4 linked regions of the Drosophila melanogaster genome follow. The protein of the gene in region 1 purifies or fractionates together with the protein of each later gene. This does not show direct contact. Each region holds a gene or a part of one and is shown on either strand. Other genes may lie near its edges.

Region 1 (8,647 bases):
AAATTTTTCATAAGTATGTAAAATCGTACTGCAAAGTTAACTGAAGAAGGCGTACAAAATATGTGAGAAATAATAAACGAAACTTGAAACATCAACTCGATAATATATTTTCCAGTAATATTGAATTCGGAGTCTTTAATCATAATATGGAAACCCGTTTGCTAATGATATTCATTATATTTTTATTACGCATACATTGTAACTGAAATTATAGCCGTAGTTTCCATTGAGCGCGCGCGTCTTTCGATAAGTTTACTAGACTAACCAAAATACAAAAATGCCTTCTCGATTAAACTTCTCATATCAAGCACACTGATTCAACGCCATCTTTGAATACCACTGTTATTCAATTCTAGTACCATAATAAAGCGATTAAACTCTTCATCAGCTGCGAAAACTGTTTTAAGGTGGGAAGCTTGGAATAAACTGCTTTTCAAGATCAGAGAAACGTCAAGTGGCGCTATCATATCGATTTGGCTTTAAAAAGCTAGTTCTAGCTTAAAAACGCCTCCTTGCTGGAATGAAACTCGACGTGTGTTGCGCCCTAATCAGCTGTTGGCTAGCTTTATTTGTTTTGTTTTGCTCAGCGTGCGGTGCCCTTTGCACCTTTTCTGGAGGAAATGGGCAAGAGCAAGAAGCAGGTGCGCGAGTTCAACGCCGCCAAGGAAGCTGTCGAGGCCACTAAAGCCCAGTTGAACACTTGCAACGATGCCTATACGAGCGGTGCCTTCAAATACCTGAGATTCCTGGTCCATCTCCTGGCGGCAGCGCAGTTTTCGTATGGGATATACTTTCACTACTTCCGGGTGCATTGGCCCACGGATTTGCTAGACGAGGATGAACTGAAGGCGCGGTGGGGCGGCAAGTTCAAGTACCTTACCTTCTTGGACGTCATTCTACAGGCCATCTACCACTCATTGGCTCTGCTGAACGATCTCTTCGGCGATAACAATGTCTCCGGGGATTCAAAATCCATGTTGCGATCGGTGAGGGACTATGTGTTCGCCGCCTTTGCCTTTCCTGTCGCCCACAATGTCTGCCTCTCGTTTTGGGTCATCTACGTGTGGGACCGTGAGCTCATCTTTCCCTCAGCGCTGGATGCGATTTTCCCCAGGCAAGTGTTTATGTTTTTCCGCCGGTTTAACTTGCGTACAATGCACAATGTTAGTCTGCTGGAGTCTCTTTTGTTTCGAGCCTGTCTAAACTTTCTGTTCATCAGGCGAGGCGAGTTTTGATTTACCTGTGTTTCTCAATATTTGCAGCTGGTTGAATCACGTGGTACACACGAATGTGGCCCTTTTGGCCATTATGGACCTGTTTACCTGCTTCCGCCGCTATCCGAGTCGATTGGCAGGCATCACGGGCAACGTCTCCTTCATCCTGCTTTACATCATCTGGCTGCACATTGTTCGCTACTTCAGTGGCGAGTGGGTGTATCCCATTCTGGAAGTGCTGCCCGCATACCTGCGCTACGTGTTCTTGGCACTACTTGTGGGGTTCAACCTGGTTTGCTATCTGCTCGGGGAGTTCGCCAACAACGTCGTTTGGGGTCCGGAGTTTAAGCTCCTAAATCAACAGAAATTAAAGCAAGGCTAGGACTCGAGGATTTAAAATCGTTTATTAGTTACACAAATTATTATGTATAATTTTGTAAACTTGAAGGCACTTTCTGAGGTACGATTTGTGTGCCCAAGAGGCTTATTTATATCGTACTTAAATCTATAATCTACAATCTAAAGTCCTGTACCCACGGCAAAGAAAAATAATGAAAATAAATTATTATCCTCTTTGGCATTTACTTTGGCGTGAGTACCAGGATTAAGGAAACAGTCATTCACAAACGTACACAGAGATTCGAATGCTTACAAGCTAGATGGGGTGATGAATCTGTAAAATAAAGTTGCAGCCTAATGACTATGAGTATTCGTAATTCGTAGTTCTAGTTTCGCTCAGTCTGTTCCAGTAATCGATTAAGAAGAATCTAAATGTTCATCGCATGTAAACTGCTCTGGCTTGTGTACTACAATTTCGTATTTGTTTGTTTTAAATATCATTTGGGTTTCCAATTCTAGTGAAGCGATATATTCTTATAAATCGTTGAACAGTGAACATAACAATATTACGATTTCGTAAAATAGATAAGATTGTACGATTATTTTCAGCGCTAACAATTTGATTTCTTAGAACAAAAACTACAATATTGTAAGAGTTTTTGAACCTTAAGTAAATGCATCAATTGCTTATTTAGTCTTGCTATTTTGAAGGCAGCAATAACATTTTGAGTTTGTCCGACTCGCTCATAAACGTGGGCTCCCTTTGATGCCGATGGGAATGACCCAACAAGCCCTGCAGCTCCGTTCCTCCGAAATCCTCATTGGCTGCTTCAGTTCTTTGTCTGCTGGCTGCGTTTAGGAGTCGCATGGCCTGCTGCAGTTCGTCTTCTCCGTAACTGGGAACTAGCTCGAAAGGATTAGCCTGTATGCCCACATCGCAGCTGGTTTTGCTGTTTCTACTATGTGGTTTGCCCATGGATATTCCAGAAAAAGAGCTGTTAAGAAGGCTTCCTACGTCCAAAGCCACATCCAGCTCTTCAGAGGAGCAGCTAAGTGAGTCATTAGACCGATACTTTACACAGTCCTTCCTGAAATCTAGATCAGCAGCAGGGTTCTTGAGATGTCTCTTTTGGGACTTTTTTGACTGACTTCTTGCGGAATTTCGGGAATGTCGGTTAGAATTGGATTCATTAGATTTTTTTATGTTTTTAAGAAAGTTCTCCAATGCCACCTGTTTGCTATTTGGCAGTTCTTCAATCTTTATTCCGTCGTGATCATCCTCACTTATTTCCTGCTGCTTTACAACCACGTTAAGATCCTGAATCTTTTGGGATGCTCTGGAATTATCCTCCTCCGAACTAGAGCTCATATCTTGATTTTGGAGGAATGGGAATATAAAATCGCCATTTTTCTGCAGGAATTCATTAAGAATAGAGGGATCCAATCCGGCATTAGCAGTCCTTCGCTTCATGGAGCTGGTGTAATTGTGTTGTTTCTTGGAGCTGTGATGAGCAAACACGCCCACTTTGTGACTAGCATTGGGATAGGTCGTTTTCTTGAGCGCGATGACCTGCGACTCCACTGAAGTACTGCTTTCCCTTCTCCTACTGCTTTTTCCAGTGGCAGCTGCTATATAATCCCTTCTCCTTTGGGTTCTTCTGTTGCTGGAAGAGCCTCCGTGTTTTCCCCTTGATCTGGACGCCACTTTGGTCTTCATTTCAGCTATTTTCACTGATACCTGCGAGTCCACCGAATTTCTGCGGGATTCAACGGAAACATGTCGAACACTCACACTTATCTCGGAATCCAATGAATTTTTTCGCGGTCCATGGCTTGACGAGTTACCTGTCGCTGCTCCCGTCAAAGCCATGCGACGTTTTACGCACTGCGGGAGGTATGCAGCCCAAGTTGATGAGATGTCATTCGTCTCAGAAGAGTTCAGATCGTTCACATCGAAGTTGAGCCCCACGGGATCTGTGTGGGTGTTGTAGAGCGTTATGGAGAGCCTGCCCTTGTCCTCGAAATCCTTGCGCTTGGCCCATGTCTGGGCAATGACCTTGTGCTTCGGCATTTTCACTTCTTCGACCACCTCTTTGCCACACTTTCTGCAAAGGTTATAAAATCGATAGTACAGATAACTTTAATGCAACTTTTGGTAGGATGGTAAAACATACTTCCTTATATAACGCTTCCAAGTCTCAATTGAAGAAGGTGTCCAGCACCAGGTGGACATTACGATTCCAGAGCTAAATAGACACAGCAAATGCAATTGAAGAACGCCAACACTAGGTCGGTTTTCAATTCGACAGGAACTCTTTTCTTCAAAAACTGAAGAAATTTTGCAGCTAAACAAAAGAATTATCTAGTTGAGGCGTATGGAAAAAGTTATAAACGAGTATTTACACTTACATTATAAACTGTCTGAAGCTCTGGGCCCATTCGTCTGCATGCCTAAACTCCGTAACGTGGCACGCAATGGCCACTAGTATGAAAACTAAAGTGAGCAGAGCACAGACTCCCATGCGCATGATGATCAAATGGATTTTGTTGCTCGCCGAAGTTGATTTAATGTCATTAGCGAAGTGTTTCAGTCCAAAAAGCATCACCATGCCGCGGGTGATGAAGTATCCACCAATGAGGATGACCCCGCAGAGCGGACCAAGAAGTAGTCCTGCCCTCATAGAATGATTGATATAGCCTACGAAGCAGATGCCCACAATACTATTTCCATCCACCTCACTGAAAGCCATCGTGGTAATGGTAAGCACAAGGGGTAGTGACCACGCCACGAGGTGAAAGTAGGAACCTTTCTTATCTATCCGATCTTGGACGTGGCCCATGGCCCTCCAATGCCAGGCGTAGGTGAGGAACACAAACCAAACCATTCCAGCGGTGAGAAAATAATAGACCAGCACAAAGATCACTATGCAAGAAAGATTTTCACCGGCTGTAGGCTCTGAGTGGCGAAGTGTTCCATCCTTACGACATACTATGTCCTCTCGCGAGCCAGAAGTAAACTGAAGCAACCAGCTGCATAGTAAATACGTGGTTGATTAAGAATACAAATGCAAAATAGTGCTCAAAACTTACCCGACGCAAGCAATTAGAAAGCAAAGATTTATGTAGAACACAATTACTGCCGGATACTTGTTGGCATTCTTCCAGTCGATGAAGAAGGTGGACACCACGAAAAGGTTAGACAGAAGACATATGCTGCCAGCCCATCCGATCAGTTTGTGGATCTGCCGATGCTCATCATCGGTATAGAGTGGATCCTTGCATCGCACGCCGCAGCCCTCGATGCCAGGATAATAGCTGGCTGACGTATCTGTCGGAACCAAAGGACTTAAACACTGGCCAGTTCCGTTGAATTTCATTCCTCGTGCTCCGTTTGTGCATTTCGTCGGAAAGAGTGTTTCGTTGCAGCGAAGGAATTTTGGGAAAAACGTCGTGTTGTACAAAATGCGACAGGGTTCCATGGTAATTCGGCACATCTCGTAAGATGGCAGGTAGACCATGTCCTCGCCGTTGATTTTTTCACACTTCGGCTTAAAGACGGCGCACAAAAAGGGCTATAAACATGTAAAAATGGGTGTGTTGAGCTAATCCGGAATATTGAAGAAATGGATTTGAAATACTATAATATCTACAGAAAACCTTGAGCCACAACTGAATATGTATATATATCTGAATCTTCCCAAGATAAAGCAATTCACATATTACTTTCACTGCTTGAACACAAAGCGTAATTAAGTAATCACAGTTGTGCGCTTAACTTGTTTCTAATGCACCTCCTTATCAGAAAATAATGCGACAATCTGTATTTTCATACAGACTCGGCCCCACCTTTTGAAATCATTAGGTACATTAGATGTTATTAAGATTCCTCACCTGTATAGCTGCCCAACATTTGGGCACGTGCTTCAGGGCATAGTAGTCGTTCAGCTTATCGTTCAGCTCCTTTTCGGTGTGGAAGTCGGTGAGATCTAGGCTGCTCAGCTCATAGGGCAATTTTGAGCCGAAACAGGTGTTGGTTGCGTTCGAGGTGGGGTAGCAACGGGCACGTCGGACACACTGGATGTGCCTGCTGTCTAGGCCATCAAACCAGGGTTTGTCGTCCCTGCCCTTCTTGGCGTACAGTCGGTAATTGAGAGTCCCATTGATGGGCTCCAGTTCCACATCCGACTGCTGCGCACTTGCGGGCGTTGTGCTGCCGAACTTGGCCGAACTGGCCGATGCGTCTGCGACCACCCACAGGCATAAGATCGCAACCTCCAGGAACATCCTGCGGTTTGTAAATAACCAAGTTATTTTAATTGCCCACACCATTTGCCAGAGGCGAGTCACTCACATAATGTTTGGCATGCGCGGAAAGTTTAAGTACTGCATCCGCTTATAAAAATCATTAAATAGCTGCCTTGTGTGAATTTTAATGGGCTGAATGCCCGTTTCTTGCTCAGCGGTTCGTCAGTGCATCGTGAAGGCGCTTTCGTTGGACTCGGGATATCCTGGTTTAATTGTTCCCTTTGAAGGATTGCAGTGTTTTTAAAAAAGAGAAAAAAAAAACAAGAACCAAGGAGGAAAACAAAAATAAACGCGACTCAACGTGAAGCTGAAGCAACAAATGTGCGACCATTCAGGGCCAGTTTAAATATACCCATGTTATCGGTCAGCGAGATTTGCATGTTATCGGTCGGCATCGGTTATTATCGGTCATAGCTGCAACAAGTCGAATGATATGCAAACAAATCGGATTTATTTTGTTCGATCGTAACATAAGATAACATCAACATAAAATAAGAAATATGATCATATGTAGAAATGCATCAGCAAACGAAAAAGGTGTTCCCCGCAACATTTTGACTATATGGCAATGCTGGCCGCTGGCTTATTTATTTATGCCATGCGCTCGACGGTCACACTGGGTGCGGAGTATCGATAACACCGCGATAGTAGCGCACCAAGCATCGATGTAGTTTTTACATCCCTATTCTGCAATATTATTTCACGGCACGGTCCAAAAACACGGATAACAGGGCTTGGTTGGAGTCGCGCAAACGCAAATAGAAGCCATGGACGTTGCCCCCGCACCGCCCGCCAGTTCCGGCGGCGATCATAGCACCCAGCAGGCGCCGATCAGTCCGAATCAAAATGCAAACCAAGCGCCGGTCGCACTCGCAAAGGCAACAACAATCGAAAATGGTGTACAAACAGGAGGAGCGAAAAAGCCAGAGAGCTGCGGTGAGAAAGCCCCCGGTTAGCAAACTTGCTCGAAGCTAGTCTAGTTTCCTGGTTAACGTTTACCTTTTAGCCGTAGAGCCGACACATTCCACTGATGCTAGCCAGAAGGACGACGACGAGGGCAAGCCGAAGACCGAGCTGGCTGACAAAGTATTGATTACCATATGCAGCGCCGATCGCAAGATCAAGAAGACCTTCATGTCGTTGCCCACTCGAAAGGATGTAATCGACAAAGGTAAGGAACGTCCGACGAATTGGGTATCTATTCATCCAGTATTCCGAATGAACGTTGCCCAGTTGGAAGTTATTAACCAGTAGACAGTCTTTAATAAGAATCTATTGGGTTTAAGCTTAGAGCATTTCTGCATTTAAAAATATAAATTTGATCAATGGGTGATATATTTATCTAGGATAGAAATTAAATAATTGTACATATTTTATTTAATTTATATCAATAATATATTTGTATTCGGTAGCTCACAAATACGGCCTGTGCGGCAACACAATTGTCCTGGAGAGCAACGGCTGCGAGATCTGCGAGGACGACGTGCTCTTGTTCGCTGCCAAGGAGAAGATTCTGTTGATGCTCCTCGCCGAGTCGGAGGAGTATGTGGTGCTTCCTCCGCCATCGCCCCTCAACCGATCCGAACGCGCCGGCAGCTCGGTGGATCCCAGCTTCTATGCCAACAACAGTATTGTGTCGAACCCGAACGATTCGACGGTCTCTAATGACGAAACCATGTCACTGTCCAGCGTAACGCCATCAAGTGCAAAGAGTTCTGCTCTATTCAAGGAGTTCTCGATACCCTGGAGCAAGGTGCCTGGGGACATAATGAAACTACTAAAGGGAAAGGGGAGTTTGGGCAAGCGGTTGAATACACTTGCGAATGTTTTGGTGGAGGCTCTCCGTGAAATATCCGCCCACATTCCCATACGGATTTTCCGGCAGGTCGCCCAACAGGCGGCTGAAAAGTACCCCGACTCCTTACTCGAAAAAGACCGCGAGGGACAGTTTATAGCCACCACTCCGCAATCGCTCATATCCAAGATGATCAACCGTAACAATGCCCTAAACAAACCCCAGAAACGCGGCAGCTCGGGAACCTTTGAGATCCACATCCCTAATAAAAAACGAAAATTCGGAGGTGGTGCTTCCAATGGTGATGCAAAATCGCTGGCTCTTAACAGGGATCTGGAGCACAAAAAGGAGTTACTAATCTCCAGCTACCGAGGCAGTTCCCCACTGGAACAGTCCGTCATAATCGAATATATGAAAGAGTGCTTTCCGTTGCAGCGCTCCTTTTTTAATAACAGCGAAAAGATCCCAGATATAACGGCCATTAAGGACAATTGGCCATATATTTTTGACAAGGCTGTGCTGTACCAGCACTTTGAGCTGCTTATGTCCATCGATCCCCGGGCTCTAGAGAAGCGCTTGGCTACCGAAAAGGATCGCTTTTTCAGGTTCTTTAAGAGTTCAAAGAACAAGAAGATCAGCTCTTTGGACGAGACCAACGCTAATTTCCTGCGTGGCATAGCGTACTATTTTAATGAGGATCCCGACTACATTTTCAAGCACCTCGAGAACAGTTCCCTTAGCAAGGAATCACTGCAAAGCACGAATCCCACAAACGCCCCCTGGGTGGCTCTAGTCAGTAAGTACACAAAAATTAATATCACTAAAAGTGTTTAAATACTTTTAAAATATTTATCTTCCCACAGATTCACCCATAACAACGGCCGACGGCGTGGAATCGCAAATGGAGGCGAAGGTCTACATTGAAGGCCAGATAATGGCCACATTCGCCGCCAAAGACGAAGACCTGCCGGACATTCTGGCCCAGTTAATCTGC
Region 2 (6,129 bases), on another chromosome or scaffold:
GTTAACCGCTCGGCGTAAGGATAAGAGTTAAGTTTATATTGTTATGTATCGGAATAATAAAAATTGAACGCGGTGCTTGTGGCGCGAGCAACAAAGTTTTGATACATTTTGAGATGCACCAGAATTTACACTCATATTCATAACTTTTCATTTTTTAAAGCTTTTATTTACGTTACACAGGCACCTAACTTCTCAGACTTATTCTCATCATTCTCTAGCCATTTCTTCAACATTTCCTCATCGTGAATAACGCGAATGCCTTCATATTTTATGTTCACTTGGCTCGTTTTCTGCAGAATGTCCTGATAGGCGGCCGTCAAGGGTTGCTGCACTGGCTCTTTATACACATAGTTCTCGCCCTAAAACAAAACATTTTAGTGGTTTAAACCAAACGAAGATATAGTATTAACATACCAAATCGTATGTGCGATCCGAGTCCAACTCGCCCTTGTAGGCAACAAAGGGAACTTGAACCACGGGCGGGCTCTCCTTCTTTCTGCCCACCCACGACTCGGGTTGATCGTGCCATTCGGTCGTCAGGTTGCAAGGCTTGTAGCCATCGGGCAGACAAAACTCTCGGGCCACCACGAAGGCTTCAATGCTGGAGTTGCGCGAGGCGGAGGGCTTGAACACGCATACGTTCTTAAAGAACCGCTTGAGCTGAGTGTACAACCGACTGGTCCTGTCTGCCCGGTAGATCTTGGACACGAAGGAGCCTCCCTCTTCCAGTATGAAGGTGGATATGCTGAGGGCGGAGAGAAGTAGTTCGCCCTGAACGTACGAGTCAAAGTCGTGCATTCCAGTAGAATCGGGAGCGCCATCGCTAACAACAATCTGTGCCTTCTCGCCGCCAAAGAACTCAATTATGGCCTCGGCTGTCGACTCCTTGCTGATGTCCGCCCGCAGTTGTTTGACTCCTTCGATCGGAGCCATTCCCTGCAGGTCTACGGCGATGATCTTTACCTTTTCCCGTTCCTCTGGCGGCAGAGGCTCGTACAAGCGTTTGGCCAGCACCTGTGACCAGCTGCCAGGAGCGGCGCAAAGGTCCACGGCTCGGGTGAGACCTGAAATAAGTGGACAATTAGAATCGCTCCGAAAAACACGCGGTTGGATCTGCACCTTCTAGCAACTGAAAGGTCTCATCCGCCTGGAGCAGTTTGAAAGCACTTCGTGCACGCCATCCCTGCTCCTTGGCCAGGCGGTAGAATATGTCTCGTTTATCCTTCGAAGTCCTGCCCATTTAAAAATAATAAAAACAAAAGGGTATCAGCTGTGATACGACATCTACAGTGCTGTCGTTTTAGCCGTTTTCCCTTCAACTTTGGGAGTTTATTGGTATTAAAAACATTAAAAAGTTTGCAAGTGTGAGCTCGAATTTATAGTTTTAAAATATATATCATTCATTTTGTGTTAAAATATAATTTTATATTTAAATGGTAGATTAGGAAAAAGAATCAATTTTGTTTCCAAATCCATAGAAATAGCTACAAAATGTAGTTTAGCTTTAATCTTCATAATATTGAGTTACATATTCATTATATTTGAATTTGTTTATTTGAAATAAAACACGTACAGCTAAAATACATATCTAGTTGGATTTTCAATATTAATAGCTAAATGGCTAAATTTGCACAATCTAAATTTGCACTTCTGACAGCGCCATCCTATTTCTTTGTTATCGATAAATTTCATGCAAAATAACAAATGATTGTGTTGTTGCAGCCCAGCCCGCAGATTGAGAAATTCCTGCTATGAGAACAGGAAAATCGGCGAGATCCCGATTCCCAAATTCAACGTAGCCCGCCCCGACAACAAAAAACGAATAATGGCCAAGTTGAAGAAACTGCATATGAGCTCCAACCTTGATGACCTGGAGAAGATGTCCATCATTCCGGATCTGCGCAGCAAGGGCATGAAAATGTAAGTGGACACCGCGATTTGGTGCTGATGCGGCTGTTTTGATTTACCTGGCATTCTTCGCAGCCTACTGAACACCGCCCGCAAACTGTACATGACCGCCGAGGAGTACAGACTGGATGGCGACGAGGAACTGGCCTACATCACCTACATGAAGTACTTCAATATGCTGACCGCAATTCACAAAAAATCCGATTACCCCAGCCACAAGACGACGGTGCGCCAGATGCTGGGCGACACCGAGTCGAATCGCCGCATTATGGACACGCTGGAGGAGATTATCAACTCTCTGCGGCATCGTTATGCTCAGCAGCACCAAGCGCCGGAACCAATTGCTCCCGACCTGGTTAGCAATGGGCGTGCGGGTGTGGACTCGCCGATAACACAGCCAACGCAGTACGCCCGACTTGGGCTGATAACCTGTCAGGATCTGTATCGGCGCATGCAGGAGAAATCGGTCCTAGTTATGGACTGTCGCCCAAGCGCCGACTACGAGGCCTCCCACCTCACGTACTACTGTGCATTTAATGTGCCCGAGGAGTTGATAACGCCAGGGTGAGTTGTCCATTATAATAATCTCGCTATTTGGATACTAACTTATTGGATTTACACAGAATGTCGGCTGGCAGATTGCAGGCTCGTCTTAGCAGCAGCGCCAAGGCGTCGTGGGCATCGCGTTCCGTCAAGGATTCGGTGGTTCTTATGGACTGGAACACCAAAGATGCCCAACCGGCGACCAACACAGCCATTTCAACCCTTCTGGACATCCTGAAGAACGTGAGTATGGGTGGTATTTAGCCATAGATTACATATAATCATTATTTTCTGGTAGTGGGATCCGGATGTGACGTATCGCGCACCCATTCAAATTGTCGAGGGCGGTTATGAGTACTTCATTATGATGTACCCGACCCATTGCACTAATCCCAGTGTGCAGGCGCCGCAGCAGAACAACAACGACATTGAGACCATCGATGATATCGAGTATCCCTCAATCCACGACATCACCATGAAGGAGGATATTAGTGCGAAGGACTTCAGACCGCGTCCAGACTTCAATCGGGCCAACAAGCCAGCGGCCACTCGCGTTAATGAACAGGGAATTTCCCGTCCTTCTCCGCCGGCTAAGCCCATTGCTGAGATCATGCGTGATCAGGCCGAGTTTTTGCAGCGCGCAGAGCAGAACGATGAGCAGTTGGAGAAGGCCTCAAAAATGTGGAAGCGTCAAGCAGCAGAGGGCGATGGTTTGAATGCTACCGAGGACCAGGAGTTGCACTTCAGGATCCTACAGTTGGAGAGCAAGGCCCAGGACTATGTAAGATCTATAAATTACCTTATAAGGTTCGATTAATTGTTCGTTTGTGTCGTAGATCGTGGAAAACAATCGTCTGCGAGAAGAACTAAGTCGCATACAAGAGCTACACAATGTTACGCAGCAGTTGTCGCAAAAGGAGGTCGAGGCAACGAGGAATATAGAATCCAAGATCCGCGAACGACAGCGCTTGGACGAGCAGCATGAACTTGAACGTCAAGAGCGGGAGCGCCTTTTGGCGATCGCTCGCGAGACAAAAAAGCATTACAAGTCACCAACACCTTCGGGCCCGCCTTCGCCGGGCAGGAACTTGGAGGACGTACATGTCGTGTCAGACAGCCTGGAATCCCTGCTCCAGTTGACTGGCGATCCGGATCCGACAATTGCGCCAAACAAGGCGGAAATACCAACATTCGATCGGGCGATGAAACCGCAGCCGAGGAATGTGGAGAGGACATCGCAACGCGTTCGTGATTTCTCGCCTGTCATTGGTCAGAATGTGGTAAGTATTGCTTGGGTAGTGGTGGTTGACTCACTGGCCACATAAATATAGCCGCGACACGAGTCAAATCAATAGCCAGCGGGTCACGTTTTGAAGACACCCGCCCAGACGTGCGCCGTTCTTGGTGCGCTTTCTACCCCCACTCTCAGTCGCTCGACGTCCGCACTCAAAGCATGTTCAAACCAAAGAAACGTACAATTGCCATACTGTTAAGCAGGAATAGCATTATACAGGATTCCGCGAATGATTTGTGTAGCGGGCGTGAGGCTCCAGCTGCCAACAGCTCCGCCCACCTACAGCATTTATAGCTCCATCTTTCCGCTGAGACGAGTAATAGCTATAGATTTTATTTTCCTCTATCTCCGAATAGTTAACTATATCCTTGGATAACATTTCAGGGTCGTGGACTGACTGGACTGAAGAATCTGGGCAACACCTGCTATATGAACAGCATACTGCAGTGCCTGAGCAACACGCCTCAGTTGACCGAGTACTGCATTTCGGACAAATACAAGAATTACATCAGCAGAAGCAACAAGACTAATGGCCAGGTGATCGAAGAGGTGGCTGCACTCATCAAGGAGCTCTGGAATGGACAGTACAAGTGTGTGGCCAGCCGAGATTTGAGGGTATGCAACTGAAAAAAAAAAAACACCCAAATTTCTTTCTAAACTAAACATACTTCATTGCAGTACGTTGTGGGCCAGTACCAGAAGATCTTCCGCGGCGTTGACCAGCAGGACTCACACGAATTCCTCACCATCCTGATGGACTGGCTGCACTCGGATCTCCAGACCCTACATGTGCCCCGTCAGCGGGAGATGATCAGTGCGTCGGAAAAGGCTTGGCTGGAATTTACCAAGGCGAAGGAGAGCATGATTCTGCATTTATTCTATGGCCAAATGAAGAGCACTGTGAAATGTGTGGCCTGCCACAAGGAGTCCGCCACGTACGAGAGTTTTTCTAATCTCAGCCTGGAGCTGCCGCCAAACTCGAATGTATGTCAGCTGAACCAGTGCATGGACATGTACTTCAGTGGAGAAAGGATCCATGGCTGGAATTGTCCTAGTTGTAAAACGAAAAGAGATGCCATCAAGAAGCTGGATATATCGAAGCTGCCACCTGTGCTGGTGGTGCATCTTAAGCGGTAAGTGATGCTAACACTATGCTATGCTTGTTTATAATTTCTTAAATCCCGCATAGCTTCTATGCGGATCCCAGTAACTCTGGCTCGTACATGAAGAAGCAGAACTACTTGCGCTTCCCGCTCGAGAACTTGGACATGAATCCCTACATAGCACGGGCGGAATCGCGGGCGGTAACACCTAAGACCTACCAGCTGTACGCCGTATCCAATCACTACGGCACCATGGAAGGCGGGCACTACACGGCATTTTGCAAGAGCGCCAACTACGGAAAATGGTTCAAGTTCGACGATCAGGTCGTCTCGGCGTTGGACTCCTCTAACGTGGTTTCTAGCGCTGCATACATTCTTTTCTACACCTGGCTGCCACCCATGCAGGTGCCTCTGTAGACGCTTCGCTCGGTTTCCTTTCGGTTTTTACCCCTTTCGTTTTAATTGTTTTTTGTTTTTCTCTCATATTATAGCTTTTAAGGTCTAGTCGCCACACCCTTTTATCATTTACAAATTACCGCTTAACTGTTAACTGCTATTTAAGAGGATAATCGCTTGTTTGTTGTTGTCTAGGCTCTTAGAACAGTATTACGCGTGGGCGTATTTTCAATGGGTGCAGGCTGCATTCACTAAAACCAAGAACTTCAAGTGCATTACCAGTGTAACAAAGAGAAGCCCGCATATACGCCTGTGTATGCGGGACTATAGTTTATTGTATTTTGCAAATATATTTTAAAACCAAATAAACGAAATTCAATTTCTGATACAAAGAATTTCTTTGAAAGAATCATGCGTAGGGTTTTTAGAAAACAAATTGGGGAGAGCGGGTATTTTACACTCAACAAATAATATAAAAAAGGGGGTGAAAGTTATTTTACCATTGCAAAGAAAAATTCAGCTAATTTTCGCGCCGAAAAGTTCAATTCGAGATATCCGATAAGTAAATATATTCACTTCCAACTAACGGTCACACTGTAAAACGCCCCCGCTCTTTAGCAAATGCAGTGTTGCCAACTCTTGCTTTCAATAAATAGCTAGTTAGTTGATTTATCAATTATTACATTTATAGTGTTTTATGTATGCCCTATTTTTCATTTATAAAGAGTTATGATTTAAACTTATTAAATAAGATGATGAAATTGATGATTCAAAAGAAGAACATAGCTATAACAGTGCACCTAAAAAATGGCCAAAAATACAGGTGCTTGCAATCACTTAATCTAATCTGGCTAGTAGCCAGCTAAAGCGGCAGCACCGACCACG
Region 3 (9,619 bases), on another chromosome or scaffold:
TTGTAGTGTTCAAGTTCTAAAATCTTGCCCTTTTAACAAACGATTTACCACCATTCTCTTGTGCCGGGCGCTTGTTAAATGGTTTTTTACCAAAGTTTGGCTTAGTGTCCTTTTGGAACTTCCGCGGGGCGCGGGTCTGACCAATAGCTAAGCGTTTCTTTAACAATCTATGCTTCAGCAGAGAGTTTGGCTCAATAAATATAGGGGCGTTGTTTACAATGCTTTCATTAGCCAAGAAAGATTTGCAGAAACCCTCATCGTCCTTGAACTTTACTACCGCTTTTTGGCCCAACATTATGATGCTTTCGATTTCGCCGCTATCGTTAAACACTTTCCGCAGGTCGGCTTCAGTAGCATCTACAACGAAATTTTACATGATAATGATTAATAATTTTAAACAATTTTACGAAACGGGTAACCCACCTGAAGTCAAGTTCGTCACAAGAATGGCCCTCCCCGAGGTGCTGCGTTCGAATCGGTGAAGCTTCCACTCAAACTTATTAACAGTCTTTCCGTCGAGTTGTGCTAAAGCCTTCGTGGCGGCATCCGACTGCTTGAACGTGACAAAAGCTAAAACTGCCTTGCTGCACACAACGTCGATTTCTTCAACATCACCAAATTTTTTGAATATCTTTTCTAGAGCGTCGGAGCTGTAAGACTCGTGTTTGCCCACATTTTCGACAACCAAGGTAAGTTCACTGGTACGTGAAATCGATTCTTGTGAGATCCGACGAACCGTTATAAAGCGAGAAAACAGCTCAGTGCTATGCAGTTTAAGAGCCTTCGGTATGTCATCGACCGACGCCAAACGTACAAAAGCTCTGGGCATGAGGCGGTTACTGGATATAGTCACCGCCTCCACGGGAGCTACCTTCTCAAAAAAGGTTTTTAAGTCGTCCTTGGTAATATTAGGTCCAATCAGGCCAACCACCACCGTGCGTTCGTTGTTCTCTTCCTTATTTCTCGGTTGGGACACAGACAAAACATTGTCTCCAAGGGTTAACGCTTTAGGCTTAGCCTGCAGAACAGCTTCTGCTCCAGTTGACGTATCAAAGGCAATGAGAACTGATTTATTGCCATTCAAATTAGTGAAACGCTGCAAAGCGGAAAGTCGTCCGAACTTGGCGAACAATGCGACCAAGTCCTTGTGGAGATACTCTATGTGGAACAAATATACTAAGTTTAAATATACTTGAAAAATGAAATAATAAACCAGTTACTTTACCGTTTGGTAGGTTTGTGACAAAAACGATCTGGTTTTTTGGCGTTCCCAGCGGAATCTTGCCAACCTTTACTTTTGGAATTCCTCTATTTTCTTCGGACTTTTCAGAGTTGGCTTTTTCTGATTTCTTGGAAACTGGCTTCTCTACAGGCGCTTCTTCATCATCATCGGATTCATCTACCTCATCCGCGCCTTCACTTTTGGAAACCTCACCAGGCTCCAACTCATCGTCATCATCATCTTCCTCATCGTCACTATTGTACTCTTCATCTTCCTCAGCCTCGTCGTCAATTAAGCCCGCTGCCTCTTCGGTCTGAAAAGTAGACAATTTTCTTATAACCGCTGATGGGAGAGCACCAATAAAGACAATTTTTTTTTTATCGATATATGAACCGAGTCGGTATAAAACCAGAGGATCGTGGGTTATGTGCACTCGTCTTATAATTATAAAATCTTTACAACCACGTGGCAAAGAAAACGTAAAATGGATTCTTATCCATGCAGATCTATATATACGTGCATACTATGCATGTAATGTTAGCCATATCCATTCAGAAGACCACGTTTTTTTTATAGCTTACCTCAAAGTCGCTGTCGTCCCCTGGCTGCTCGTCATTTTGCTCCTCCACATCAGACTCGTCCTCTTCACTGAACTGCGGCACTTCTTTAACAGGCTGTTTTCTGGATTTTTTGGAAGGCGATTGGGGGACTACTGTCTCCTCTTCCTGTACCTTTGTGGACTTGGTTACCCGTTTGGCCAAAGGCTTTTCCTCTCCATTCGTAGCTTTTTTTCCTTTGACGGTGACGGCTTTCTTTTGGGCCATTTTGACAGCTTTTAGAGGTTTTCTGGGCAAAATTAGCAAAGTCAAGTTTGGACTGAACAACGCGTGGTTTCGTTCAATAAAATGCACGTGGAAAAGAGGGACAGAACAGTGTGACCGTTGTGCTCTATCGGTGCTAAGGCTGATTAAATAAAGTATTTTAGAGACTTCAATCTCATTTTTATAGCTCTATTCCACTACTAAATATGGTTTAAAGTCCGTTCATGCACATGTATACATATAAAAATAATAAAAGCCTTTAAAAAATAAAATAAATATTAAACAGTTTATATAAAGTATTTATTTAAGACTTAGGATACAATCTATGATTAGATATTTACCAACGGTCTGATTTTACATGTGTTTATACATTCCAAATGGTAAGTTTCCTCAATCATCAGCTATGAATCATCTGTTTCTAAAGGAATTTATAATATATATATTATATTTCATTAAAAAGCCAAGTCAACCTGCAGTTGCATTTTATCTTAGTAGGAAACTTAATGTTAATTCAAGCAATTGTTAATGGTATTGAAAGAAAAATTATTAAAAGTCACTTACTATGGGCCAGGGCACACTTAGGAAATATAAATAGGTGCCAAAAATGCAAAATAAATATTAATTATAGGCTGCGATTATGGTACGACCAAACATATATCGGTTTGTTCGCACTGAATTGAAATACCAGAGAAGTACATAATTTGTTAGTATGTAATATTCCCTGGTATTTTTCCAATGACTGTCAAGCAGTGCTGGTAAATGGCGGAACAAGTATACACATAAAAAATTAAATTGCAGCACAAGTCCCGCAACGCACACATATATTTATTTAACGGAGTTCCAATTAAGCAGGAACAGCAGAAAAGCAGAATAACAAGCATAACCGCCAAATAACATAATGAACGGTGGTGGTGGAGGAAGTGGAGGAGCAAATGTGAGCAATGGCTCCAGCACCAATGTAACAGCTGCCGGGAGCACTGGGGGCGGAAGCGCAGGCGACGAGACTGGTGGAGATGCCAGCTCCAGACGCCAGGCGACTCGGGTGTTTAAGAAGAGCTCCTCCAACGGCAAGATAACAGTTTACCTTGGCAAACGGGACTTCGTCGACCATGTCACGCACGTGGATCCCATTGACGGTGTTGTCTTCATTGATCCAGAGTACGTAAAGGACCGTAAGGTTTTTGGCCAGGTGCTTGCCGCCTTTCGGTACGGACGTGAAGACCTAGATGTTTTGGGATTAACGTTCCGTAAGGACCTGTATCTGGCGCATGAGCAGATCTATCCGCCCATGCAGCTGGACCGCCCGATGACCCGGCTTCAGGAAAGGTTAATTAAAAAGCTGGGGCCGAACGCCCATCCGTTTTATTTTGAGGTTCCGCCCTATTGCCCAGCCTCTGTGTCCTTGCAGCCGGCTCCTGGAGATGTGGGCAAGTCTTGCGGAGTAGACTACGAGCTGAAGGCCTTTGTGGGTGAGTCTTTGTGGGTCTGATCTTGTGGGTGTGTCCGTATACGGTGGTCAGTCAAAGTCAAAATCATTGATATTTCGCAGTGTGGCACATACCGTGTTTATTATATATGTTGCAATACATTAAATTTACAAATTTACAAATTTTTCTTTTTTCTTTACAAATTTTTCTTTTACCTTAGAGCAGTTAAATTGCGGGTACTATTGTTTCTGAGAATAAAATAATTTATTAAGAATATGGTTACAGTAGCAAAACTAGCTTTGTTCTTTTCTATAGAAGTTAGACTGTAAATTTCTTATATGTGTGGTTTTGTGTAAGTTAGCGCGTGCATCACGCGGTTGGGAACACAGGGTTAATCAATCCAACTACGTCGGGCTGATGACGCAGCGTTCACCTAATTGAAATTCGACACTTCTAATTGGAATTTGAATCAACCGAAGTTGCAGCGCAGTTAATGCTGTTGTTCGCCTTAACCAGGCGCCGCAGTTGGCGGTCTGACGATTTGTGTGCCAACAGCAAAGATCTTACATAGTTTCAAAATGTTTATTTGTTTAGTTTCTAATCTGTATTTAATAATTAAAAAAAGGTTTAAAGAATTTGTGCTTTATTTTATTAGTAGAAAGGTTTTTGGTTTCTGTAAATTTTAAATTTTTCATATTTTCGTACGATCGCCGAGCTCCACTCGCATATATATTATGTGCCCGTGGCACCCCCTTAATACATTCTCTGTTCAATAAATATTATTACCTATTGCCCTATTTTGTTTACACATTTTTGTGCTTTTATAGTTTCTGTTGGAATTTTATTATTATTCAGCAGCCAAATTGTTTACTGTTATAAACAGAGATTAATAAAATAGCAGCAATTGGCGTGTTGTTGGGTAAAAGAGTTTATAACAAGAACTTAATATTTATTTTTTCTGTATATAAGCCCAAATTCAATTTAAGAATAAAAACAACAATGTTGGAATTTGTACAGTTGGAAGAAACGATTTCTCAGTGCTTCTCTGCTTCCCCTCATGACAATTGAGTCAGCATTTTTATTTACTTTGCGTCTGTTCAATTGTGTATCTAATGTTCCTAGCTTTTATGTTTTTGGGATAACCAATTATATATATTTATGCGTATTTTTAAAGCAATGCTATTGATGATCAATTAAATGAATGTATATGCATATATATGAATAATATATATATATATATATATATATATATATATCCATATGTAAATGCCAGTAATTGTCGGCTTGTGATTAAACATCGTGGAATTCTATACATGATAGACTCAACATCAACGACAAATTTTGTAACGAATCGGACTACTGACACACCCGAGCGTCATGGGTTTTCTTCAACAAACATACATACATTGATGCCATTATTCATAATGTTTATCACTAATAGGTGAGAACGTGGAGGACAAACCCCACAAGCGGAACTCGGTGCGACTAACTATTCGCAAAGTCATGTACGCACCATCCAAAGTCGGTGAGCAGCCATCGATCGAAGTAAGCAAGGAGTTTATGATGAAGCCAAACAAGATCCATTTGGAAGCTACTTTGGACAAGGAGTTATACCACCACGGCGAAAAAATATCGGTCAACGTTCATGTGGCCAACAACTCAAATCGGACGGTAAAAAAGATTAAGGTATGTGTCCGGCAGTTTGCGGATATTTGTCTCTTTTCGACGGCGCAATATAAATCTGTAGTGGCAGAAATCGAGTCAGAAGACGGATGTCAAGTGGCTCCGGGATTTACACTCTCGAAGGTATTTGAGTTGTGCCCCCTATTGGCAAATAATAAGGATAAATGGGGCCTTGCTTTGGACGGGCAGCTAAAGCATGAGGACACCAATTTGGCGTCTAGCACTCTCATTACCAATCCTGCTCAGCGTGAGAGTCTCGGTATTATGGTCCACTATAAGGTGAAGGTGAAGTTGCTGATTAGCTCGCCACTTCTAAATGGTGACCTCGTAGCTGAGCTGCCATTCACACTAATGCACCCTAAGCCCGAGGAGGAAGAGCATCCACTGTTAGGGGAGCGATCGCCACGGGCTAGTTTAGCAGGCGGGGGTCTGCCGTTAGTGAGCATGAGTGACGGAGAAACTGAATCGGCTACTGGCGGGCAGGATGTGCCAACGACAACAAATCTCATTCAGCTGGACGACGACGAGGCACAAGATGACGACATAATTTTTGAGGACTTTGCCCGTCTGCGTCTAAAAGGCGCTGAAACAGAGGCCTAGATGAAAAAGGAATAGATCGAACTATTAATTCATATGAAGAAAATACTACTATTATTTTCGGCATTTGTATAATATAAAAAGTATGAGAAAATTGGGCAACCTCTAAATGTAAAGTTTTATACCAATAGCCATGGTAAACAGTTGGATTTAAGCTATTTTATATGTGTAGGCCATATATTGTAGTATCTATAGGGTTTAAGCTGAAAGTGTACGAATTTTAAAATGTGAAATTGATAAACCAGTCAACACACCAGATCTACACAAAATGCCCACGCATAAGTTAACTACACGAGCGAAGTATTTCGGCCACACCTGTAAAAGTTGAAAGAATTCACAAAATTTGATATGTAAATGTTGTATAATATTTTTTATTAAATGCCCTCTCCCATTATAAAAACGCATAAAACAAAAATTCATTTACAAATTCTAATGATCTTTTTATTATGCCTCTTCTTTTTGGGACATTGTTATTGCTTTGCAATGCATTGATAATTTGTTCGCAACTAATTTAAAATAAGTTTTTTGAGTAGAGTACGTTACTAAAAATGTTTCTAGATTTCTTTTCTGCAATTAAAAAGAAATGTTTTAGGATGGCTTGAGGTTTGGATGTTGTTTTATAAATATTCTTCCAATATTTCAAAAATAATTTGTTTTCAAAATTTATTACTAAAAAATAATAATATTAGAAATATCCATACCCATACCTTGAAACAATGATTTGTTATTTGTCATTAAAGTCGTGCATGCAAAAAAACTATTCTTGAAAAAGCTTTAAAATAGTTTTTAAATTTAATTTTAGCACAAATTTAATTTAATTTAAGACGGCATTCTTGATTCATTACAAACTTTGTAACCCTAGAAGCGAGTCCGACCCTATAAGGTACATTTATTATTTGTTAGGATACCCAACCAAGTCGATCTGACCATTTCCGTCTGTCTGTATAAACGCTGTCATGGCCATTTGTTACAGAAGATTGCCATGACTACTCACACGTAGACAGTTTTTTAAAAGGTTTGAAATTTCTTTATAGCTCTATCACTAGTTTGGGAACGAGAAAATGATACTCTGGTATATCAACTATACCGTTCTCTCTTGTAATTGAAAGTGTAATGGCGAAATGTGGTCTTAGACCCAGTTAAGCCACTTTTAATTTTCTCCACAAAAAATTAAAACAAATAATTTAAACGACAACAAAGCAATTAACTAATGGTGGATTTGGATTAAAAACTCCAGCTCTTTGCTGATAAAACCGCTTTGGCTAAAGCTTACATGAAGTGGACCTTCACAGGCGGAAATAGCTAACATAGACAATTTTCAAACACCTTTGGGAAATACCTTTCGTGTGGGAAATTTTTACGTTGAACACCAATTTCTTTCTTACTTTAATTAACAATGTCCGAATCGAAATTCGCCAACGAAAAATACTACACGAGTAATGCATTCGTAAAACTTATTTAGAGATACAAATTAAAAACGTGATCAGAACATTTCCAAATGTAAACCAAACAAGAGATGACGAAATATGATTTCTTTTATAAAGCACTTTAAAAATACGAATGATTGAAATTGGGGCTTTTAAATTGCGAACTTGAGCTGAAATTAAATTTTATTGCTTTAGGAAATGCTAATACTGTCAAAATTTAAAACATTTTAATAATTTTATTTTTTTATAGGACGTGTAAATGTGAAATTAGTATTAGCTTGATGTATAGGTTCGTACTTTTATTTTTAAAGTGAACAATATTGGAGAAATTATGAATAATAATAAATTAATATTAAGCGCATCACAAACTTGTTAAATGTATACAAATATAATACAACAAATTCAAAAATGTTGGAGCAATTAATATTAAAAGGCATAAATTGAAATGAGAACAGCAGAGGTGTGTGAGTATTATAAATTTATAAAGAAAAAATTAGGGCATAACTTCAAGTGTGAAGCATTTAAAAAGCAAATAATATATGTAAGCTTGTGCCCCAAACCGAATGAGCACTTGAAGAGTTGTAATGATCTTTTCTGCAGTTGAACCACCTGAACAAATACATTTTAGAACGAGCACAACAACTTTTTAACACAAATCGTTGATTTTTTAAAAGAGTCGTCTTGCTTTAGTCATAGTAGAATTATTATCAAATGATTTACCAAACTATTTAAGAATTAAAAATAACAATTTACAGTTAGTTTCCAATAAAGATAATAAATCAAAGCAGATATTGCAGAAATCGCAGAAACTATCGGTCTAGCGATATTATCGTGTTCAACGGGTCCAACTGCAATATGAGCAACATCACTTTTGTACTGTGAGTTACATGTTCTTATTTGTTAAAATGGTGTGATTTTTAAGAAGCTAAGATAACTTTTAAGATAAGTTGTAATGGTTTTGATAATACCTTTTAAAAAATAGCATATATATGTATATGTGTTGCAATTTAAGTGGATGAAACCTTTCATAGCCTGCACAATAAATAGAATATATATATATATATATGGGTAGCGGGTTAAGGTGATAAAACCTTTTAAAGCTGGCGCAAGAAATATTAAAAATATGTCACTTTTATTTTCTAAAAAACGTTTTGGTCTGGATATGCGTTGTATTCAATTTGATAAATATTTGGTTTATTGTGTGTATACAACTAGGCGACTAAATATTTGCCACCGTAGCCAACGCATCAAGCGAGCGAACCAAACAGAATATGAAATACAATACCTACCTACTCATGACTAATGTATAAAAAATATAAACGAAAGTGAAAGATTGAATGTTGTATGTTTAGTGTTGAAAAAAGGATGCAAAGAAATATGGAGAAAGAACATTTTTGACTGACACGTTGGAGCTCCATAAGAGAGGAAAAAAGAGTGGACTTTTGGAAAAGACTATGTTTGAAAAGCTTTAATATTGTATAATTAACAATGCATTGTATATACCACAATAATACATGGTAGCCGAAATCCTTATAAAAACTTTAATTTTTATTTTAGAAAATAATATCAATATAAATTCTCATGCCATGATAATCCCTACCCTCCAACGTGTCCATCAAATAATTAACATTTTACATACGAGCCTTATGCGAACGAAACCATAAATAACTAATGCATTTGCATTGAAATTGCCAACGTATTTTAAAATTCCAAATATCATTACTATACCCGTTACTCGTAAAGTCAATGGTCCTACCAGATTTGTTTGACCCTTAAGTCCTGTCTGTCTGTTAAAAGTTAACTTTAGGAGCTACAGATTTGGGGCTTACATGTGGATTCTAGTAACGCCTAAGCAAATTTTAACCGTTATCCGTGCCGACTCTTAAGCCTAAAATTCCTACCAGGTTTTTTATGATTTAATAGTTTTATAAATATTTTCGGCTTAATTGCCTTAACCTTATTTAAAAAGTTATAGGGCCATACCATTTACGGTTTAAGTTGTCCATGACTTCAGTGTCTAGTATACAATTACACTATACACTATAAGGTATGTAAAAGAAAGTACAGTAACGGGTATCTGATAGTTGATGATTTAGCGATTCTTTTTAATTTTTATATATTTGTCAGTATTGTTGCACCTCTTAGGTAGTAATTAATGATTGCATTTTTAATGCACGCATTGGAACGAGATAATTGCAAGTTTTCTGAAAAAGAGTAAATAATATTTCTGTATAATGTTAATGTGAATTATTGAATAAATTTGCAATAATAAAATCGACAAAAATTTCATAAATGGCAGTATAAATTATTTCTAGAACATTACACATTTTATGGAAATAAGGGGGTTATAATTTCATGAGTTGATTGGCTAGCGATTTTGAAAGTAACACATTTTGAGAGAATTCGGTGAGGTTTCAGGGATACTGTCTCTGACCTCGCAGT
Region 4 (6,518 bases), on another chromosome or scaffold:
GATTGTCCCAGCCCCCGATCACTCCGCCAGCATGGCGTTCGATAAGCTCTCTGGTTGGCATGGACATCTCCTCCTCGACGGTACAAGGGTTGCAAACATGACCAGAGATATTAAACAGCTTGGTGCCAGAGTTTCGGGTACGTCCAAAGCTGGCAAACCAATTGCCACCACGCCGGCAAATAGTGGGAGACACGGCCACCGTTTCCACATTGGTCACCGTAGACGGACAGCCAAAGACGCCGATATCAGCCGGAAAGGGAGGCTTGTTCCTTGGCTTACCCGCCTTGCCCTCCAGGGATTCAATCAGAGAGGTTTCCTCACCGCAAATATAGGCTCCTGCTCCACGTTGCACATAAAGATCGAAATCGAACCCAGAACCGCAGGCATTCTTTCCCAGGTAGCCAGCCTTATAGGCCTCAATAATGGCATACTGAAGATTGCAAGCTTCGTTGTAAAACTCTCCGCGAATGTAAATAAAACCAGTGTTGGCACCCATAGCCCGTCCAGCAATGAGACATCCCTCTACCAGTTTGTGTGGATCATGGCGCATTATCTCACGATCCTTGCAAGTACCGGGCTCTCCTTCATCCGCATTGACCACCAGAAACTTGGGTCTTCCATCAGGCGGTTTATGCATAAATGACCACTTAAGTCCACTGGGAAATCCGGCGCCACCGCGTCCTCGCAGTCCAGATGTCTTAATCTCGTTGACTATCCACTTGTCACCCTTGGCTATGATCTCCTTCGTCTTGTACCAGTCACCGCGCTTCATTGCTGCCTTCAATCGCCAATCGTGCCGTCCGTATAAATTGGTAAAGATTCGATCAGCATCAGCAAGTGGTCCAAAAGTAGTTTTCGTCTGCGGTGGTGGAGTTCCGGGCGGTGGCCCCTTTGGGGGTGGTGGAGCGCCGCTTTTGGCAGGCGGAGAACCGCCCGTCGGCGGTGCAGAAACATTTTTAGGTGGAGGAGAGCCTGCCGGGGTGGCCGGCCCAGATCCTTTCGGTGGAGTTGATTCCTTGGCATCCACAGTCACAATAGTTCTTCCTTGTAGAGCAGCATAATTCCAGCCTATAAAATTATCCCTCAGCTCGTCAACTTTCTCATCTAGTCGAGATTTCTTTCTTTTAGCCATATCTTTAAGCCTTTTTAACAAATTGGCCTCGAGTTCTCTTTGGTCGGCTGGATCTAAAACCTTCTTGGCATTTTCATTAATAGGAAATTTCGTTGTGGGCGGAAGTTTCTCAGCTGGAAATTTTGGGCAATCTACTTCGGATTTTTTTATGCTTTCCCTTTTTTTGGCTCTTTGCTCAGAGGACAGCAAATCGTCGTTACAATCGGTTTGAGATCCTTCTCTCATAATCAGCACAGGTTTGGCTGGCCGCAATAAGAGTGGAATAACGCTTTCAGCGTCACTTAGTTGGTTCTTCTTCACATTTTGTATGCTAGAAGTTCGGTATATGTTTACCAGCTTGATATTTCCAGTTTTATTACCAGGTCGTAAGGCATTTTGAAGGCTTTTTACTTCTGTTAAGGCTCTATATGCACGAGTTAGTCCTAATGAAATCTTGTAAGCATCACAAGCTCGGCGTTTTAACAGAAACGATATCATGCTTTCGTCTATATTCTTTATCTGATTAACTGAACTCTTTGGCAAGTGTGTTGAATCAAAGGAAAATTCAAAGCATACTACTTCCACATTTTTCGAACTTGATATGTTAAAAAAGTTTACATTACTCACAATAACGAATATCGGAAAGTCCCATTATGGATTTTCCCTATAATGACCGTAAGCCCCGCTGGGTTCAACTAAAATCTTATCACAAAGAATCGATAAAATATGAAGAACCAACTACTAGTGTACAATGTATATGGTAGTAGAGGGAAAATAGCAAATGAATGCGCCATATTCTGTAGTCAACCACGGAATTCAAGCATTAGCATTAATAAACAATTCATTTGAAGTGACACCAGCGGCCACAGACCCATTTTCGGAAACCCAAATATCCCCCTATTGGAATCTCACGGATAAGGAACATCGAATGTTTTTTTTTTTTTTTTAGTAGCACATTGAACAATGCGTGGCGCGTGATTTAAGTGCAACCAAGTGTACAAAAATGGACAAGAAGTGGAAAAAGCGAATAGTAAATCACAAATACACAGAAAGAAAAAATATTGCGATTGTATTTGTGGACGAGCGAGTGAGTGAGCCGCAATGAAAGCAAATTAGTAATAATCACTTTTGTTATATCTAACAAAATATGGGAAAAGAGCTCAGATATGGCGCACCACTCGCACTCACCCACTCGACTTGATGGGCGCGATGGGGGGAGGGGGCTTTTCCGCAATTTGTATAAAAATGAAAGTAGACAAGAAAGGAAGTGCTAAATTTAGCGATACCTTATATGCATAGATGAATGTGAAGAAGAGGAAACAGCAGCACCACAAGCGCCGCAAATAAAACAAAACTTTAATTTACCACAATGTGTGTTTCGATTGGACGGCTAAACAGGTGCGTAATTGATGGTTTTCGAAAAGAAAACCAAACGTGAAAACAAAGCTTGCTGGGTCTGGCGAATGCCAACTGCTCCAAATTTCCCGTAACTAACCAAAAGTGAGTCAAGAAATTAGCCCAAACATGTGAGCAAATTACGAAAATAAGTGATTACGCCAAAGGCATGCTGGGTAAATAGTTTTAAGGAATTTTTTGCTGTTACATTTAATATTTTATAACACTAACGATTAAGAAGTACAGGGTAAAACTTTTATGCTTTTGATGACCGGAAGTTCTGCTTTAGGAACTAATTTAGACCGTCCTATTTGACGGATAGGTGATAGGCACTAAGGAAATTAGATGCTAAGATATATCCAATTAATATTAAAATACTTACGAAATAAATCCTTGCGGGCCAAGTTTCTAGCACACAATACTGCAAGTAAAGCGATATATTAGTGGGTTTTATTAACAATTGTTTTTATCAGCAGACTTACTCGTTATTCGAACTTTGTGTGTACCATTGCGACGTGGGTAATCCAATTTATTCATAATTTTCGACTTTTAATTGATATTGTTTGATTTGTATAAAAATAAATGGATTTACTTTGTGTATTGATTATTTATATGTCGCGGGCATGTTGTTGTAGTTGTTGTTGTCGTTAAAGCGCCGAACGGAGAGCGAAGAAGAAGAAGTGCAAGTAGAAGGTGGAGGAGAGGAAGCAAAGGAGGTGTAGGAGGAGCAGGTGAGGGCGGTGAGAGGTAATTTCATTGCCGAAGGTAACTGCAGTTGTTATTGTTGCTGCTGCTGCTGTGGCGGTAGCCTTGACGGTTGCAATTGTTGTAGTTTTTGCGTTTGTTGCTGTGTGTCATGGCACACGCACATAGATATATTTGTATATAAATAATAACACCGATTTGCTTTTTTTATAGGCTGCAATCCAAAGATAACAAATGGAAATGGGTATTATTAGTAAGTTCGTTAGAGATAATGTGTGTATTTTCCCCCCAAGTGCAAAAACCCAACCCAAAAGCGAGGGCGTAGGTAGGAAATCGTTCAGGTAGGCAAAATATTCACGAAAAACTCACCCGAAATTGTTTTGCTGGTGTTGTTGTTGTTGCTGCTGCACCTCACACGCACATGTCTCGCTCACTCTCTCACGCACACACACACGGACGCAGTTCACGCATGCTGCAGGGGAGAGCGGGAGCGGGGTTCGATCTGTCTCTCTCCCTCTGCCACTCTATTATTTCACAAATTGCATTAAATGAAATACCACTGTGTGTTTAATTAACTTTAATTTAGTCGCTGCTCCAGTATGGGTGCCACACTATTTACTCGCACTAGTATTTCCTTCGCTATCGATGTGTGCGCGAGTGTGTGTGGTACTAAAATTTGCAATAATAATCAAAGGAGGCACACTTGTATTGTTCTAGTTCACTAAAAATCGGACGAAAACTCTGCGAACAACGCACGCCCACACAGTTGCTCGTCCACGGAACGCTTGATAGTGCGCGAATTATGCTGCCGCGGCCTCACGCGCTATTGTTTTACGGATTCCCATAAAAATTTAACTACAACTTCGAACGCCATTTTTATTAGTGGTGGCACAAAGTCTAGTGCTGAGTGAAAAATCGATTACTCTCTTATACTATCGATTTTTTAGTGCTAATATTCTTGGAAAACATCGCATATTGTCAAATATATATATATAATACGTATGTAGTCAGATACTAAATTTAAAACAGCATGAAAACTTGTTCAGTGATGGTAAACAGTGATCTCGTTACCATCTACAAGCTTTGATTTACAATATAATTGTATGTTTTTGTTATATTGTTACTATCGAATTAAACTACTATTGGCTATCGGTTGTAAATCGATGAGTTTAGCTGCTACTCAAACCATCCTTCTTAAGCGCAAACAAACAAACACATTTTGGCGGAGTTTTTGTTTACCTTTTATTTTGCGCAAAAAGTAACAATGTCAATTACTCTAGATTTTAATGGTAAGAACTTTGCCAAGGGTAAGAATTTAGACGTGCACTACTTGCCGGCCAAAATAGACGGCGATGGGGAAGCGAATGTAAAAAATTACTTCAACAACTACACACGTGAAGCAACCGAATTCGGCACAGGAATCCTGACGAACGCCTTGCGCGGATTTCCTTTAATGGGAGAGAAGTTGAAAGTGCCCGAAGGATACTGCGGATTAGTTCTGCAAGAAACAGAGAAGCCCATCAGCGATACCTCCGACCGAAAGTTGCGGCTAACTGGAGTATTTCAAGATTTTACTTACTGGAACTACGACAAAGTGCCGTCCAATGGCGATCCCTACCGACAGGCCCTTCCTCTGCCGGATGTTGCTCAAGCTGTATGTATATACCACTATATATTCTCGAAGTACACCTAATAAATACCACATTTTATTTATTTAGCTCTCGCAGCCCATTAGCGAAGAGGATTTAGAGAAAGAAATCGCTCGTAATAAGGAAAACGTCAAGGAAAGCACGTAGTTTTGTTTTAATCGCGCTTACCGCGTTCTATTTATTACTCCAAAATCTAATCCAATACATATATATCGTACATTTTATCTGGTATAAAACGTGGTATTGATGTTTAAATAGGTTATGCTTCACTCATCAGCGTCCTCGAATCGCTCTTCGTCGTCGTCCAAACTGAGATTCTGCACGCCGTTGCGCCCAAGCGTCAATGCATCATCCTCCTCCATAGCCTCATCCTCTAAGCCACCGGCATCCTGCATAGGATCGCTGTCTTCCGAATCACTGTTTGCCGAATCAGGATGTAGGGCCTGGCAAGTCGTCATGGCACTGTACATAGTGTCTACGGTGTGAATGTCCTCCGGCATAAGCCAGCACTCTGTGACCTCTCCAAATTGCTCGTCTACGGCATCCTCGAAATTGTCGTCCTCATCGTGCTCATCGCTGCCATTTCCCTCGTCCACTTCCGCTTCCGAACCACCGCCATTCCGACCATTGACTGCCTGCTGGGGAGGATCTCCGTAGACGCCGTTCCACTCGACTTTGTGGTCCAGCATGAAGTAGATGCACTTTCTCGGATTCGAAGAGATACCGTGCAGGCTAACCTGCTTCCACTCAATGGATATACCCTCCGCCAATTCAGTTGGCTGCCAGGATAGCGTGCTAGGAACAAGAAATAACAGTTACTTTAAAAGATTTTAATAAATAGAGAGCAATACCAGACACCGGCAAAGCTCTAAAGCGCTCACTTTTGGGCAATGTAAACTGTGCCTTCGCCCACCACTTTGTCGCCTAGTTTCAGCTTGATATTGTTTGCCGTATACAACAGACCATGTTCCGGCGGGGAAACACGCATAATAAGAACCATTTTAATACAGCTTGTTAAATTAATTGTAAAAAGCGCGATCAAACAACAAAACTTGCAAAAATGCAGTGTTGAGTACCATTTTTTCGTCCCCCTTTTGAAAGTCTGGCAAGGGTGGCAATAACTAGGAGAGACAGCTGGACTCTGGCAACGCTCTGATGTATTTTCCTTCTTTGAATGTAGAATCATCAGAACAGGTGTTCTCGGAGGACAACTTCTTTCTTACCACTGTTGAATTTAGAAATAGATATATAAAGAATGGAACAATTTTGTCAAAAAAAGATAAAAACGTAGTACGTAATTGTGCTACCAGATCAGCGCGTACGATTTTCTCCCAAAGAGGTCTTAATTTGGCGCTCTAGCCGCGGTCACACTGGTTAGGTAGCGTCTCGTTCAATTTTCAATTTTAGCTGTTAAAATTTGCGATAAATGTGATAAATGCGAAGTTATATGCTCGCGCATCAAACCTTCGACAATAATACACTCCTCAAAACGAACCCATTACGGACAGAAGTGAAAGAAGTAGCCTTCGGGTTAACGAAACGAACTTGTCATTGTCCTTCCAAGTTGTTGTTATTTTCCTTATCCGTTGGCAGTCGTTATTATTGTTGTTGTTGTCGTTGTTCGTGGATATATACAGTGTTTACTCGATAGTCCCGAC

The links.
Region 2: the proteins of smo (region 1) and Usp8 purify together in Drosophila melanogaster (affinity purification with western blotting, with the first as the bait; 4 studies listed by BioGRID). This does not show direct contact.
Region 3: the proteins of smo (region 1) and krz purify together in Drosophila melanogaster (affinity purification with western blotting, with the first as the bait; 4 studies listed by BioGRID). This does not show direct contact.
Region 4: the proteins of smo (region 1) and Smurf purify together in Drosophila melanogaster (affinity purification with western blotting; 2 studies listed by BioGRID). This does not show direct contact.

Annotation. Positions count from the first base shown.
Region 1 is NT_033779.5:275,121-283,767, reverse strand, and holds smo (smoothened), read right to left. Parts: upstream 6,187-8,647; 5' UTR 5,943-6,186; coding exon 5,905-5,942; exon of another isoform or gene 5,839-5,904; coding exon 5,445-5,838; intron 5,126-5,444; coding exon 4,644-5,125; intron 4,584-4,643; coding exon 3,963-4,583; intron 3,899-3,962; coding exon 3,728-3,898; intron 3,659-3,727; coding exon 2,254-3,658; 3' UTR 1,601-2,253; downstream 1-1,600. Other genes in the region: CG11601 (uncharacterized protein), read left to right, coding at 621-1,114, 1,263-1,596; CG17078 (uncharacterized protein), read left to right, coding at 6,626-6,809, 6,865-7,029, 7,271-8,449, 8,517-8,647. UniProt on the Drosophila melanogaster protein: Segment polarity protein required for correct patterning of every segment. G protein-coupled receptor which associates with the patched protein (ptc) to transduce the hedgehog (hh) signal through the activation of an inhibitory G-protein.
Region 2 is NT_033777.3:21,132,586-21,138,714, forward strand, and holds Usp8 (ubiquitin specific protease 8), read left to right. Parts: upstream 1-1,676; 5' UTR 1,677-1,825; coding exon 1,826-1,920; intron 1,921-1,983; coding exon 1,984-2,472; intron 2,473-2,531; coding exon 2,532-2,694; intron 2,695-2,749; coding exon 2,750-3,232; intron 3,233-3,287; coding exon 3,288-3,731; intron 3,732-3,896; exon of another isoform or gene 3,897-3,974; coding exon of another isoform or gene 3,975-4,061; intron 4,062-4,129; coding exon 4,130-4,360; intron 4,361-4,423; coding exon 4,424-4,878; intron 4,879-4,934; coding exon 4,935-5,265; 3' UTR 5,266-5,629; downstream 5,630-6,129. Other genes in the region: Trm7-34 (tRNA methyltransferase 7-34), read right to left, coding at 168-359, 415-1,064, 1,120-1,240.
Region 3 is NT_033777.3:32,045,162-32,054,780, reverse strand, and holds krz (kurtz), read left to right. Parts: upstream 1-2,787; 5' UTR 2,788-2,941; coding exon 2,942-3,512; intron 3,513-4,911; coding exon 4,912-5,753; 3' UTR 5,754-9,467; downstream 9,468-9,619. Other genes in the region: mod (modulo), read right to left, coding at 17-357, 424-1,158, 1,226-1,535, 1,804-2,046.
Region 4 is NT_033778.4:17,590,375-17,596,892, reverse strand, and holds the start of Smurf (SMAD specific E3 ubiquitin protein ligase), read right to left. Parts: upstream 4,103-6,518; 5' UTR 3,581-4,102; intron 3,426-3,580; 5' UTR 3,044-3,425; coding exon 2,989-3,043; intron 2,928-2,988; coding exon 2,889-2,927; intron 1,627-2,888; exon of another isoform or gene 1,610-1,626; coding exon of another isoform or gene 1-1,609. Other genes in the region: ND-51L1 (NADH dehydrogenase (ubiquinone) 51 kDa subunit-like 1), read right to left, coding at 1-1,609; CG30105 (uncharacterized protein), read left to right, coding at 4,476-4,865, 4,930-5,007; icln, read right to left, coding at 5,127-5,655, 5,742-5,860. UniProt on the Drosophila melanogaster protein: E3 ubiquitin-protein ligase which accepts ubiquitin from an E2 ubiquitin-conjugating enzyme in the form of a thioester and then directly transfers the ubiquitin to targeted substrates.